3 linked regions of the Arabidopsis thaliana genome follow. The protein of the gene in region 3 purifies or fractionates together with the protein of the main gene of each other region. This does not show direct contact. Each region holds a gene or a part of one and is shown on either strand. Other genes may lie near its edges.

Region 1 (5,316 bases), on a different chromosome or scaffold from region 3:
AGCAACTTTCTTCGAGAGGAAGACCACAAAGCCCTGCATTCCCTTCAAATGAGGATTTTGGTGGCCCAGTGATTTGTGTTCCTTGTGGTATTTCACCCTTGAGTTGGTTATGGGACACATTTATGTACCCCAAAAACGAGAGGGTCTTGAGTCCTTGAGGAATAGTCCCAGATAGTCCGTTTCTAGACATGTCTAATGATTCAAGCTCAATAAGATTGGCCATAGACATGGGAATATTACCTATGAAAGCGTTGTTTGATAAGTTGAGTGCAATCAGTGCCTTCAAGAGACCAATGGATTCAGGAATCTGTCCTTCAAGTCTGTTTCCGGAAAAATCAATAGCGCTGTATAAAGTAAGAATCCTCTTTTGCTCCATGTGTAGACCTTTGTATCTTAAATCTATAAAATCTTGATAGGTATAAGAAATGCTACCGTAAGCATTCTTAGTGTATATCATATATAAACCCCCTTCTTGATTTTAGCGTGAGTGATGATGCTTTCCAATTCTCATAATAATTTGGTGGCAAGCCTCCGGTAAATTTATTACCAGATATCTCAAATATCCGCAGCTCTGGATACCCTAGTGGACCTCGATCAAGAGGAGATATTGAGCCATAAAATTTGTTTCACATGATTGGATTCACATCAGTTTAAACTTTCTAACATCAGATTGTTTATACATAATTCCAAAATTCTAGAAATCCACTAGCATGACAACATACACTGCATTGGATATATTGTTTAGATTTGTTTGTGGGATTATTCAAAGTTTCAAACTTCAAAACCTGGCGAAGTGACAAAATATTGGCTCAGGTAAAAAAATATCAAATAAACCGGAGTACATGGTGTTTGCACAAAACAACACTACAGACTCTGGAGGAAGCGAGTCTGAATCAGAACAAAATGTTAATGCAATTATTCGAAATCCTGCTGGAAATTACAGGTATGTTTATTAAAAATCGTTGAGCAAACATTGGTAGGTCTCAACAAGAAGCCAGCAAAGGAAACTGATTCAGTAAAATTTTAACACACTCTTCTCCTTCAAGGTGGGGGTAAATATCAAAGCGAAGAAAAGAGAACTAACACGGATGGGCTTATTTAGCAGCTTCAAGAGCAGAAGCTCCAGAGATAATCTCAATAAGCTCTGTTGTAATAGAAGCTTGACGAGTCCTGTTGTATGTGAGGGTGAGACGGTCGAGCATTTCTCCTGCGTTTCTGCTTGAGCTGTCCATGGCAGACATTCTTGCTCCCATCTCACTACATGCATTCTCCAGAACCGCATTGAACATCACCTAGTAGAATTTACGTAAACAACCAAAATGTTATGTTTCTTTCTATGCTGAAATACCATAAATCAAGTTAAACTTTCTTGGTTACTTACACAAGAGAATTGGAACTCGGCCAGATTCTGCAATATTTCTCCCTTTGTTTCCCCACCTTCAATCTCATATGAGTCAAGCTCGCCAAGTTTTCCTCCAATTTCAGACTCCTTCTCAATAATCTTTCAATGCAAAACACACACATATACAATCAAGTTTATACTTAAAGCAGAATGTGAAATATTAAGCACAAATTGAGACGTTCAACAGTTATGACTTACCTCAGGTGACAAAACAGTGGACACAGTTGGCAGAAATGCGACAACTGAATGGAACTTGTTGTAGACAATGCGCAAAGCATCAAATTCAACGTTCTTCAGGATGTCATCAGCTAGAACTGACACCTGAAGCAGCAAGTAAACATAAGAAACACTATAGACAACAATAAATAGCTCGAGAACAAATGGATCGGGGAGAGAAACTATTGCTCCTAACTATTAGCAACTAAGAACTACCTGAGCATAATTGAGTGGGTTCTTATTCAGCTCTGTTACAGAGAGGACAATGTCGTTCTTTGAGTCACGAAACATTATAGCCTTTGCTTTCTCTCCGACAATAACAAACTGAACTTCCTTTTCAGGACCTGCAATGATATAAGAATTAATATCGGATATGCAATTCAGGAAAACTAAACCACGGAACCATCGTAGTGTTTTCAAACATACCAGCATTCAATTTGTACAGAGCCCTGCTCACTTTAACGACAGTGGAGTTGATTCCACCACAGAGACCCTTGTCAGAAGAGAGAGTGACCACCACACTCTTCTTTACATCAATGCCTGGTTTTTCCATCAAGTAACGCTAGAAATCAGAAACACATCCACAATAACAACAAGAGATAGCAAGAGGATGGATATCTCAGACTATAGTAAGAGCAACAGATTTGTTCGTCGTCATCAATATTCAATACCGATGCAAGCCCGGAGTGATACTAGAACAAAGTTATTAAGAAAAACAACTCTATATAGCCAACCATACTGGGATTATCTCCTAGAAGTGCAGTAAATGGCTGCCAAAGTCCACGGGAGTTCTCAGCTCGGCCTTGAACTGCTCTAAGCTTGGAAGCAGCAACCATCTTCATTGCCTTTGTGATCTTTTGGATGTTCTTAACACTCTTCATGCGGTTACGCACTGCACAGAGAATACATGTAAAGCAATTCATAAAGATTAGAACATCACAGATTTCTTAGAACACAATCCTAACTAGGTAAAACCAATCTCCAATTATCAGCTTTGACTTACCCACTTGAGTTGAGATAGATCGAACTCCAAGAAGTCCTTCCTCCCTACAAATCAAATACAAGTTTAGTCCTCATCATCCTAAATATCACAAAGTTTTGCAGGTAAAAGCTGATTAAATCTGACGAGCTTAGACAACATATCACAAAGTCTCTTCTACGAGGAAAATCAAATTGGTCTTGCAATAGGAAATTCAACGAAACGAGCTTAACAGGACATTTCCGAGTCTCAAAACTCCAAATAGACGAACAAAAACACCTCACTCATTAGCAGCTCCCGAGTCAAACAACACAATTTCCATAAATTTTCGTCGATTCGAATTTCAAGGAAATGAAAACATCAACGACTCAATTAAATCAAACGATTTCAAATTCAGAAAAGCATCACAGAGGAACAGCGAAATGTGTGTTTATACGCAAGGATAAGATGAATGAGAAAGAGATCTCACTGGTCAGAAGAGAGAGGAGATCGGATAGCAGCGATTGGGCGAGCGGCGATTGAAGGGAGGAGACGCCTCCCTTCGCGACGGAAAACAGCCATTGCCATTGATTAAAGGATTGATCGGTAAACAACAAAACCTAGCTCCGGCGAAATTTCTCAGATCGGATTATAGAGAGAGATTCGAGAGAGATGACTGCAATGGGCAAAATCAAGGGCTTCTTTATTTCTCAGTCTACACAGTAGTTTTGTCACGACGTCGTTTCCACTTTATTACCAAAATTTCCCCTGAAATTAATCGGGCCGAATAGAGGCTAATACTATTACTTTTTCGGCCCATCTTATAAGGCCCAAAGGTATCTCCTCAGATTATCAATCACGTCGTCATACACGTCTTGTTTCCTTTTACATTTTTGAGTTTTGACCATGACTTCTTCTTTCTCCAATCTATAACCAAATTAATGCGAGTTGTTTCATAACGCAACATACTCATAATAAATGAAAATTAAAAAAATATCAAGAGAAGGTAACATTTCACCAACCTATTAATTATTGAAAGGCCCACTTAATTTATTTTTCTGTATCTGTAAACAATAAGATACTATTAAACAGAATTGTCATCATCGTTACGTCATATTAATGTGCGTTCATTTGATCCAATGAGAGTAAATTGCTGAGTGTTGATTTCCTCTTGTTGCTAAATTTTGAAGCCAATTTTAACAGTCAACTATAACTCCCAGTTATATAGTCAGAGATGTCCACGTGGAATTTACTTCATGAACAAATGTGACTCGTAGACATTTCACGTGACATTTAAACCCCACATATTTAGTAAAGGCGGCTTAAAATAACATATATATAGCAAATCTTTGATATGTCTTTTTTTGGGTTCAATAATTTCCTCAACTTGTTGGTTCAATCACAAACACCATGCGTTTGCATTTTTGCTCGCTACTCTTACTCTACTGTATCGTCTTCGTTTCAAGCTTCTTGACGACCGACGCTCTTGCTTGTCTTCCTGACCAGATCCAAGCTCTAATCCAATTCAAGAATGAGTTTGAATCTGACGGCTGCAACCGCAGTGACTACTTAAACGGAGTCCAGTGTGATAACACGACTGGTGCGGTCACGAAGCTTCAGCTCCCAAGTGGTTGCTTCACTGGAACTCTCAAACCAAACAGTAGTCTCTTTGAGTTGCATCAGCTTCGTTACCTTAATCTCTCTCACAACAACTTCACTTCCTCTTCACTCCCTTCTGAATTCAGCAATCTCACCAGATTAGAGGTTTTGTCTCTTGCCTCTAGTAGCTTTACTGGTCAAGTTCCTTCCTCAATTAGTAACCTTATCTTGCTTACCCATTTAAACCTTTCCCATAATGAGCTCACTGGTAGTTTCCCACCTGTAAGAAACCTAACAAAGCTTTCCTTTTTAGACCTTTCTTACAATCAATTCTCAGGAGCCATACCTTTTGATTTACTACCCACTTTGCCTTTCTTGTCTTATCTTGATCTGAAAAAGAATCATCTCACTGGTTCTATTGATGTCCCAAACTCTTCTTCTTCATCTAAGCTAGTTCGTTTGTCCCTTGGGTTTAACCAATTTGAAGGAAAAATCATAGAGCCTATCTCAAAGCTCATAAACCTCAACCATCTTGAACTTGCTTCCCTAAACATAAGTCACCCAATTGACTTACGCGTCTTCGCTCCTCTCAAATCTTTGTTGGTCTTTGATATTCGTCAAAATAGGTTATTACCAGCCAGTTTAAGTTCAGATTCAGAGTTTCCATTGAGCTTAATAAGCTTGATTTTGATCCAGTGCGACATTATCGAGTTTCCAAACATCTTTAAGACCCTTCAAAACTTGGAGCATATAGACATTTCCAACAATCTAATCAAAGGGAAAGTACCTGAGTGGTTTTGGAAGCTTCCTCGTCTTAGCATAGCAAATCTTGTTAACAATTCTTTGACTGGTTTCGAAGGTTCTTCAGAAGTTTTACTTAACTCATCAGTGCAGTTACTAGATTTTGCCTATAACTCCATGACAGGAGCGTTTCCTACTCCACCACTCGGTTCGATCTACTTGTCTGCGTGGAACAATAGTTTCACAGGGAACATACCTCTCTCAATCTGCAACCGAAGCTCTCTCATCGTCCTTGATCTATCCTACAACAAATTCACCGGTCCAATTCCTCAATGTCTGAGTAACTTAAAAGTAGTAAACCTCAGGAAGAACAGCTTGGAAGGAAGTATACCTGACGAGT
Region 2 (4,812 bases), on a different chromosome or scaffold from region 3:
ATGCTGAGAAAGTGGTGCCGGAGTTTGAGGGTTTAGAAGATTTTGGTGGTGATGTTCTTCACGCTGGAGATTATAAATCCGGCGAGAGGTACCGCGGAAAACGAGTTCTCGTAGTTGGATGTGGAAACTCAGGCATGGAAGTCTCTCTTGATCTATGCAATCATGATGCGAGCCCATCAATGGTCGTTCGAAGCTCCGTAAGTAAAATTCAGTAAATTATACCCACCAAGTTACGAAAAACAGAGCACCCTGATTCTTAGTAGCTCCTCTGTTTAAAACAGAGCATCTGATAGTTATACTCTGTTTTTCCTTGTTCGATCAGGTTCATGTATTACCGAGAGAAGTTCTTGGGAAGTCGACGTTCGAGTTAAGTGTAACAATGATGAAATGGATGCCGGTTTGGCTCGTGGACAAGACTCTTCTCGTTCTCACAAGGTTACTTCTAGGGAACACCGATAAGTATGGGCTCAAGAGGCCTGAAATTGGACCGTTAGAGCTGAAGAACACCGCAGGTAAAACTCCCGTGCTAGACATCGGAGCCATTTCAATGATCAAATCAGGAAAGATCAAAATCGTAGCGGGAATAGCTAAGTTTGGTCCGGGAAAGGTCGAACTCGTGGATGGTCGAGTTCTGCAGATTGATTCAGTGATTCTTGCCACTGGTTACAGAAGCAATGTCCCTTCATGGCTTAAGGTAGACAAAAGTATTATCTTTTTCAGATTTTTGTCTCAAAAGATAACATTTTATAGGACCATAGAATACCGGTATTGATAGTTATGGGAAGTTTGATAAAAACTAAGACGTTGATTGGTGATTGATTTATTGTTATGCAGGAAAACGACTTGGGTGAGATTGGGATAGAGAAAAACCCATTTCCAAAAGGGTGGAAAGGGAAGGCTGGATTGTATGCGGTGGGATTCACCGGAAGAGGACTCTCAGGTGCATCGTTCGATGCAATGAGTGTAGCTCATGACATTGCCAATAGCTGGAAAGAAGAAACTAAGCAACAGATCAAAACTGTCGCTACTCGCCACCGTCGTTGTATTTCACACTTTTGATTTTCACTGTTTATACGAAAACATATATGAGAAGAGGTAAAAAAGAGAGGATCGATAGTGTTATGTGATGTGAAAATCAAAGAGATAAGCCCACTCCATGAGAGTATAACTGTGAAATGTGTTTGAGCTTATTTTCTTGTAAGGAGGATGTGGCTCCATGTATTTAACGTATTCTTTAACATTCCAACTTATCTTTTGTTAGCAAATGTGTTTGATTAGAGCTGATCTAGAAAGTTTAAAACATGATTAGTTTAAACAAAATATATGAACATGTGTCTGAAACTGATTTCGTCATTGACAGAAATAAGTGAATGAGGGAAAAATACCGAAAACATTCCTCCGTACCGTACCAGCAATACATGAACTGTGTATGTATCATTTCTCTTATTATACGATGGAAATATAGAGACAACAAACATCAAGGTTCTAAAATGCTTAAACAAACATTCATTCATCATCATCAAAAGGAGCCATTGAAATTTTACCAGACATCAGGACGAAGCTCTCCGGTAGCTGGAGGCATCCAACGACCAGAATTGTACACGTTTTCACCGACTTTCCATCCAGGAACATCCTTCATCACATCCGCCTCGTATTCTAGATACTTCTTCCACTCAGACACAAACCTATTTACAAATCAACACGTGGTGATCCAATGTGAGAGTTTGTACCACACAAGCAAACATAACTTCTTTTGTGAATCCTACCTTTCATCTTCTTCAGCTTGAAGAATCGGTAGAATTGCTCTACGTGCAGCGTACTTCTCTTCCTTCAACGCCCTATCATCACAGCAATCTTCATTAAAACTTTGGAGTTGATACATTGTGCTCATTTTGACACTTTTGTCATCATTATGCAATTGAGAGTCTAACAATAGAAGACTATTAGAGAATGTCACTTACACACACCAAGAAAGATAACACTGTGTTGTCTTATTCGTTGCAAATTACTCCAAATCGACACTAATCAAGCTAAATAACTCACAATGTGACCATCTAAAAACCAATATGCAACTAACCACTAGTATATCATCTTGCAATTTGATTGCTTTCTTCATCACAGCTCAAGAGATCGTTAATTAGTAACCAATTTCGAGACTAACCACACAAATTTATAAGCATCAATCCCAAATTGTCTTAAGATTCAATCCCAAATTACTCAAAATTTCACAATAGAGAAAAGCCTAACCAAACTCAAATTCCACATCTCATTATCTAATTACCTGCGGATTTTGTTGCCCTGACCAACTTGGTACATGCCCCAAGCAAAAGCACCGGAAACGGTAAGGAAAATAGCCATGGCGCTAGGTCCCGTGTTGGAGATCCGGCGAGCATATCGGACCGGCGCGAATCCACCAGGTGGTGGACCATCCTGAAGCAACGGCATATCCTTCACACTCGCCATTCCTGGCTTCTTCCTTATCATCGCCTCCGTCATCTTCTTCCTCGATTGATCCCCAAATCGATCTTTGATTCGTTAATCAGTGTGTGTTCTAGGGATTCTGAGAAAGACAATCAGAAATGAAATGAAATGAAAAATCTTTTTTTTGGTGACTTTTTTTTTAAAATGTTGTAATAATGAACTGGGCTTTAAAAGGCCCATATTAAAATAGTACCGGGTCAAAACTCGAACCGGATCCAAAACCGGAGGCTAAAACTCGACCAAGCAATGATGAGCTTGGAGAAAACGTAAAACCCTAAACCCTACTGCTTATAGAATCTTCGACGATCTGCTTCATTTCTCCTCATCTACGAGTGAGAGAATTTGTCAATTTAGCTTCTTTAGTTCGGTCTGATCTGAATTAATTGCAATCTTCTCGGTTGTGTGAGAGAATCAATCACCATGTATCGGCTTGTCTCCAACGTTGCTTCCAAAGCTAGGTAGATCTATTCGACTTTTTGGTTTTCTTTGTGTATATGATTCCAATGCTGCTTTATTTTCTGTGAATTTGTTTCTGATTGGATCCTCGAAATCGGAAAGTTGCGAGAAACTGTTGGGAATTGAATCGGATTTTGATCGGATTGAATTGAATATTTCTCTGCCATTGGAGAGTTTAGCATCTTCTATTTTCTTTGTATTTCTGGAAGTTGCTTCATTTATTGATGGGATTTATTTTTCTTTGTTTCAACAGGATTGCCAGAAAGTGTACAAGCCAGGTTCGTGTTCTTCATTTTGTATCTAATTTGTGGTTTAGCCGTTTGTGGGTATGTATTGATGTGAATTTGTGTATTGTTAGATTGGAAGCAGGCTCAATTCTACTAGGAATTATGCAGCAAAAGACATAAGGTTCGGTGTTGAAGCTCGGGCTTTAATGCTTAGGGGTGTTGAGGATCTTGCTGATGCAGTTAAAGTCACTATGGGACCCAAGGTATAAACTTATGTTTCAGATAATTTCTGTGTAAGAGACTTGTATTGTAAGTGAATCTAGTTAAAAATAGATAACGTGACGACCTATTGACAAGTATCAACAATCGTCTGTTTTGTTACCCTCACACTCTCTGATACTACATGTCTAAAACCATTTTTGAAGGGTCGTAATGTCATCATCGAACAAAGCTGGGGTGCACCAAAGGTGACAAAGGATGGTGTGACTGTTGCCAAGAGCATTGAGTTCAAGGATAGAATTAAGAACGTTGGTGCCAGTCTTGTGAAACAGGTTGCTAACGCCACAAATGACGTAGCTGGTGATGGTAAGTGTTCCCTTTCAATGGATTAAAACGTTTTTTCTGTTTTTGCTAATTGGGTTGTTAGTCTCCTATCTACTCATATTAATCGGTGTTTTTGTATCTGACAAAATATATGGTATGCGTTACAGGAACAACGTGTGCCACAGTCCTTACTAGAGCTATCTTCACGGAAGGTTGTAAATCAGTTGCCGCTGGAATGAATGCAATGGACCTAAGACGTGGTATCAAATTGGCAGTTGATACTGTTGTGACGAACTTGCAGAGCCGAGCACGCATGATTAGCACCTCTGAAGAAATCGCCCAAGTTGGAACAATATCAGCTAATGGAGATAGGGAAATTGGTGAACTGATTGCAAAGGCTATGGAAACTGTCGGCAAAGAGGGAGTGATCACAATTCAAGTGAGTTGAATTTTATCCCTAAATGTCAAATTATTTTGCTTATTCCTTAAGGTGACCAATGTTATCATCTCTTGATTCAGGATGGCAAGACCTTGTTTAATGAGCTGGAAGTTGTTGAGGGTATGAAGATTGACAGGGGATACATCTCCCCGTACTTCATAACTAACCCGAAAACACAAAAATGTGTAAGGATTCCCACCTTGTTACTTTATCAATTTAAGGAATTGCGGATTTAATTTGCTCTGAATGAATATGTGTTGCAGGAACTAGAAGATCCTCTCATTCTTATCCACGAGAAGAAAATTTCCAATATAAACGCAATGGTGAAAGTATTAGAACTGGCCCTCAAGGTATAAACAATTTGGCGATTTCTTCACTGTCAATAGTGTCTGATATTCATTAAGTTACTTTGATCTGAAGATCGAAATTTATTTTCACTGCCATTTTTCAGAAGCAAAGGCCGCTGCTGATCGTTGCTGAGGATGTGGAGAGCGATGCTCTTGCCACCCTAATTCTGAACAAACTTCGTGCTAATATCAAGGTTTTTCTTTTCAGCCTTTTGTTATTTGCCTTTTCCTTACAACGTCTTAGTAAAAAATTAATTTGATTGGATTGATGTACATGGTATTGCTTTATAGGTCTGTGCTGTGAAGGCCCCTGGTTTTG
Region 3 (4,774 bases):
GCAGTTGAAAGGACAGCTCAATGTGATGAAGCACATGGCATCAGATGGCGATGCTGAAGTTGTGAAAGAGGTGGACATCATCTTCAAAGATTTAGGTGAGAAGGAAGCACAACTCGCAGATCTCGATAAATTTAACCAAACTCTTATCCTTAGAGAGCGCAGGACCAACGATGAGCTTCAAGAAGCTCATAAAGAATTGGTAAACGTATGTATCATTCAAAGTGTTGTTCTTTTCAATCACATCGAAAAGCTATGAGAAAGCTTGACATTTTACTAAAATCTTGGTTTTGTTTGTTTCATGTGCCTTCATAGATTATGAAAGAATGGAACACAAATATCGGTGTTAAGAGAATGGGAGAGCTCGTGACGAAACCATTCGTGGATGCAATGCAGCAGAAGTATTGTCAGCAAGATGTGGAGGACCGAGCAGTTGAAGTTCTCCAACTTTGGGAACACTATCTCAAAGATTCAGATTGGCATCCATTCAAGCGGGTCAAGCTCGAAAATGAAGATAGAGAAGTGGTAAGACCGCCTTCTTGACTCTGTTTGTTATGTTGAATCTCTCTGAAAGATTAAAAAGCTTTTTTGGTGTTGTTGTTAATTGTGTTTAGGAAGTGATAGATGATAGAGACGAAAAGCTGAGGGAGCTAAAGGCAGATTTGGGAGATGGTCCTTACAATGCGGTCACGAAAGCTTTGTTGGAGATAAACGAGTATAACCCGAGTGGAAGGTATATTACAACAGAGCTATGGAACTTCAAAGCAGATAAGAAGGCTACACTTGAAGAAGGTGTCACTTGTTTACTTGATCAATGGGAAAAGGCGAAACGCAAGCGTGGAATGGCTTAGAGGTTTAACCATTTTTGATAACCGAACAAAAATATGTTTTCATTTGCAATTGTTATTTGCTAATATAGGATTTCGATTGATGGTTTGCAGCTGCAAGATGATGGACATGGGACTGAATAAAAAGCCGATGCGGTTTTTAGTTGCAGAGAAATGTGTTTGGTTTGACCAAACTTTGGTGGATTCTGTTTGTTTTTCTTCTCAGAACTTAGTGAATAATTGACACAACTTTGATGTCTTGCATCGGTTCTTTTCATTGTAACATTTGTAGGAGTTTGGCCGCTTTGGACAATAAGAAATAAAAATATCATTGTAATATAATTCACATGTAAAACAACTAGATTTGGCCTCTCTTCTGTCTCATATCTTAAGCATGTCATTTAGAACCTTTTATTGTAAAAACAAACTTTGTCATGAGTTACTTTTTGTAGTCAAATTTGATATTGACCCCTTCCTTATTATGCTAACACTGTTTTCATCTTATAACCCTATAAATCTAAGTTTCGTGAATATAGCCAAAATCATCTACATCATTGCAAAGAACCTTAAAGGAGAAAGAAGAAAACCGGCTTGAGAGAGATGGAAAACAACTCAGGAGCTATTCTCTTTGTGATCTTAGCTATGACCATTGTTCTTCAAGTGAGGCCAGGGTTCTCTCAAGCACTCCCTACGATCCCCGGACTTTTCCCACCGGGTCTTCCTATTGATATCATAAAATGTTGGTCATCTCTCTTTAACGTCCAAGGATGTGTACAAGAAATCTACAAATCGATATTTTCTGGTCAGTTTGCTAGCATTGAAGCCCCATGTTGTAAAACGTTTTCAGCTATAGATACAAACTGTTGGCCACATATGTTTCCATTGAACCCATTCTTCCCTCCTATTCTCAAGAACAACTGCGAGCGTATTGCTACGACTCCATCATCAACACACAAGTGAAGGCTACACACAAATGTTGCGAGCCAGTTGTTAGCTTCGAGGTTTAAGAAGTTCTTTTATCGATTTGAGAGATCACAATGCCCAATAATCCAAAATTCTCCTTGCAGTAATTTTTTTTTTTTTGTAATCTTTAGCTTAAAATAAACAAAGCTAAGCTTTTTGATGTACTCGTATGTGTTTGCCATGTAGTTTGTTAAAAGAGTGGTTATAACATAAACAAAATTTTGTTTGCGTTTATATATGAAAATATTGTTCTTACACTATGGAATAAAACATATTTCAGCATTTAAAATTTGTAAAAACGACGAACACGAACGCATATCAATACCATACCAAAAAGATTATATCGTACATGAAACTTGTTGCAGACAATGGCATGACTAATGGGCCTCTATTAACTTAGCCCATAAGGCCCAATAAAACTTTCCAAATAGTTTCATTTTTCAGATTTTGAAGAATCTCCCGACGACTCCTCTCTGTCTCCTCCTCCGGGAAGCTTTCTGTCTCTCTCTCTCTCTCTCTACACAAGACCTTGAAGAATCCGATTCCATAACAATGGCGACTTCGTTAGCACGAATCTCTAAAAGAAGCATAACATCGGCTGTTTCATCGAATCTGATTCGGCGTTACTTCGCCGCGGAAGCAGTAGCGGTGGCGACGACGGAAACACCTAAACCGAAATCGCAGGTGACGCCGTCGCCGGATCGGGTAAAATGGGACTACAGAGGCCAGAGACAGATAATTCCTCTGGGACAGTGGCTACCGAAGGTAGCTGTAGATGCTTACGTGGCACCTAACGTTGTGTTGGCTGGTCAGGTCACCGTCTGGGACGGCTCGTCTGTATGGAACGGTGCCGTTTTGAGAGGAGATCTTAATAAGATCACCGTTGGATTCTGCTCAAATGTCCAGGAACGGTGTGTTGTTCATGCTGCGTGGTCGTCGCCTACAGGTTCTTGTTCTTTGTCATTTTTTCGGAATTTGAGTCTCTGTATGGTTCCATTGTAGCTTCTAGTTTGAGTTCTGGATATCCAATTGCTGTAGTTACTGCTTGCTAGCTAATGGAATCATTGATATTGGAATTTAGGGTTTTCATTTTCATCTTCCATTTTGATTATGGAAAATGTAGAGTCTCACCTTTAAGGAGATTTTACACTTTTATCTGAAGTAGTGAAGTGTAAGTAAGCATATTTGTTTGGAGTGAAGATGTCCCCAGATCAAGAATCATGAATGATATTTGTTCAGTAAAGTTAATCTTCAGAGCATTTTGCGTTTAGCTAGACAAGGATGCATAGAATTGCGTAGTTCTTTAGGTGATTAGTGATATTGGAAGCAAGAAACCCATTGATGATATGTGCTTGATTTTAAAATTTAGGTAATTCAGGGGTTGAATAGATTAGCATGGTGGAGACCATCTTGTTTAGTTGTAGAAAGTTGCCTAGCAGCTCTGGAGAAGTTTCAGGAACTATGTCATAGTAAAGATTTTTAGTTATGCGGAGAGAATTTTGCAGAAAGTTGATATTATATTCAGTGGTTGGAACCGAGATTCTGAAGCTGCGTCAAGCTGAATGAACATAAGCGTCTTTTAGTCTTACCAAGGTGGATTCCGTGTCAAAGTCTTTAGTTCAACAGCCTCCTGGTTTGATTAAGCTGTAGTTTACAACTAGTACTTAATTACTTGATTCACCATTTTTTCGGGTTAATAGCTCTGTATTATCAACCAGTCTTCATGCTTTTTCTATACTAACATCTTGAAGGATAGAGCATACTGTGGTGCTGCTTTTGAATTTTGATATGATAGATAAAAATCTGATCTTAGAAGATACTTTCTACTTTGATTTTTTTCAGGATTACCAGCACAAACATTGATCGATAGGTACGTGACAGTTGGTGCATACAGTCTTTTAAGATCATGCACTATCGAACCAGAATGCATCATCGGGCAACACTCAATCCTAATGGAAGGTTCACTGGTCGAAACCCGCTCAATCCTAGAAGCTGGTTCTGTTTTACCACCTGGCAGAAGAATCCCATCTGGTGAACTATGGGGAGGCAATCCAGCAAGGTTTATTCGAACACTCACCAATGAAGAAACCTTAGAGATCCCGAAACTTGCTGTTGCCATTAACCACCTAAGTGGAGATTACTTCTCAGAGTTCTTGCCTTACTCAACTATCTATCTAGAGGTTGAGAAGTTCAAGAAATCCCTTGGAATCGCCATCTAGAAAGCTTCTTCCAGGTTTCTGGCTACTTCCCTCATTAAGAAAGCTTCTTCGTTTTCGGAATTTGATCTGAATAAGTAGCTGCGGAACAAGAAAAAGAGCAGAGCTGTGTTTCAAATGTTGTCTTCTCTGTTTGTTTTGTTTAAGTTCATATCCTTGTGTTCAAACTTTCTATGAAGATGATAATGGTGAAAACTGGAAAGTGTAAAACTTCTTTCGTCTCCCCTCACAATTGGAAAAGCTAATAATCTCGTAGTGTTATAGAATTAAACATCTCGTACTAAAATATTTTCATCTTCAATTTTTATTGTGTTGCTTTGGGCGAAAAGCCAATCACTGAAACATTACAGAAACTGAGAGACGCAACTAAAATATGTAGTACCAAATTATTCCAATATCTCTAGAGAGCACAAAGCTAGTTCCCTCCCTTAATAAACCCTGAGAATTTATGCATGACTTCAATAGCATTATCACATTCAGGTTTCAACAAATGAAAAACATGATCTTCTCCTTCACTCTCCACCACTTCAACCTCTCCTTTCCAACCAGACTTCTCAAGCTTAGCCGCGTAACCCCAACCCTGCCTCACCAACGCATCTTTCTCAGCCACCATTACCAAAACCTTACCACAACCCAACCCAGACAAATCCACCGACTCTGATTGCACCACGTTGAGCAACGGATCATCTGTTCCATCTTTGCTATTAGGACTTGCCATCATCCAAAACGCCTCTATCTTCATCCTCAACGTTTCATCTTTCGTATCCTTCT

The links. Proteins that work in one complex are often made in the same cells at the same time.
Region 1: the proteins of GAMMA CAL2 (region 3) and ATP3 fractionate together in Arabidopsis thaliana (co-fractionation; one large-scale study listed by BioGRID). This does not show direct contact.
Region 2: the proteins of GAMMA CAL2 (region 3) and AT2G33220 fractionate together in Arabidopsis thaliana (co-fractionation; one large-scale study listed by BioGRID). This does not show direct contact.

What each region holds. Positions count from the first base shown.
Region 1 is NC_003071.7:14,017,884-14,023,199, forward strand, and holds ATP3 (gamma subunit of Mt ATP synthase), read right to left. Parts: upstream 3,303-5,316; 5' UTR 3,165-3,302; coding exon 3,067-3,164; intron 2,666-3,066; coding exon 2,622-2,665; intron 2,511-2,621; coding exon 2,358-2,510; intron 2,159-2,357; coding exon 2,045-2,158; intron 1,963-2,044; coding exon 1,835-1,962; intron 1,724-1,834; coding exon 1,601-1,723; intron 1,502-1,600; coding exon 1,382-1,501; intron 1,293-1,381; coding exon 1,095-1,292; 3' UTR 727-1,094; downstream 1-726. Other genes in the region: RLP25 (receptor like protein 25), read right to left, coding at 1-457; RLP26 (receptor like protein 26), read left to right, coding at 3,987-5,316.
Region 2 is NC_003071.7:14,076,658-14,081,469, reverse strand, and holds AT2G33220 (GRIM-19 protein), read right to left. Parts: upstream 2,621-4,812; 5' UTR 2,497-2,620; coding exon 2,282-2,496; intron 1,839-2,281; coding exon 1,767-1,838; intron 1,686-1,766; coding exon 1,545-1,685; coding exon of another isoform or gene 1,541-1,544; exon of another isoform or gene 1,292-1,540; intron 1,152-1,291; exon of another isoform or gene 1,066-1,151; coding exon 969-1,065; coding exon of another isoform or gene 835-968; 3' UTR 727-834; downstream 1-726. Other genes in the region: YUC7 (YUCCA 7), read left to right, coding at 1-197, 323-694, 835-1,059; HSP60-2 (heat shock protein 60-2), read left to right, coding at 2,902-2,939, 3,191-3,215, 3,296-3,427, 3,590-3,749, 3,875-4,146, 4,227-4,331, 4,410-4,496, 4,598-4,687 and 1 more.
Region 3 is NC_003074.8:18,032,768-18,037,541, forward strand, and holds GAMMA CAL2 (gamma carbonic anhydrase-like 2), read left to right. Parts: upstream 1-2,167; 5' UTR 2,168-2,339; coding exon 2,340-2,733; intron 2,734-3,629; coding exon 3,630-4,006; 3' UTR 4,007-4,274; downstream 4,275-4,774. Other genes in the region: IDN2 (XH/XS domain-containing protein), read left to right, coding at 1-205, 313-522, 612-848; AT3G48675 (egg cell-secreted-like protein (DUF1278)), read left to right, coding at 1,425-1,784; CXE12 (alpha/beta-Hydrolases superfamily protein), read right to left, coding at 4,419-4,774.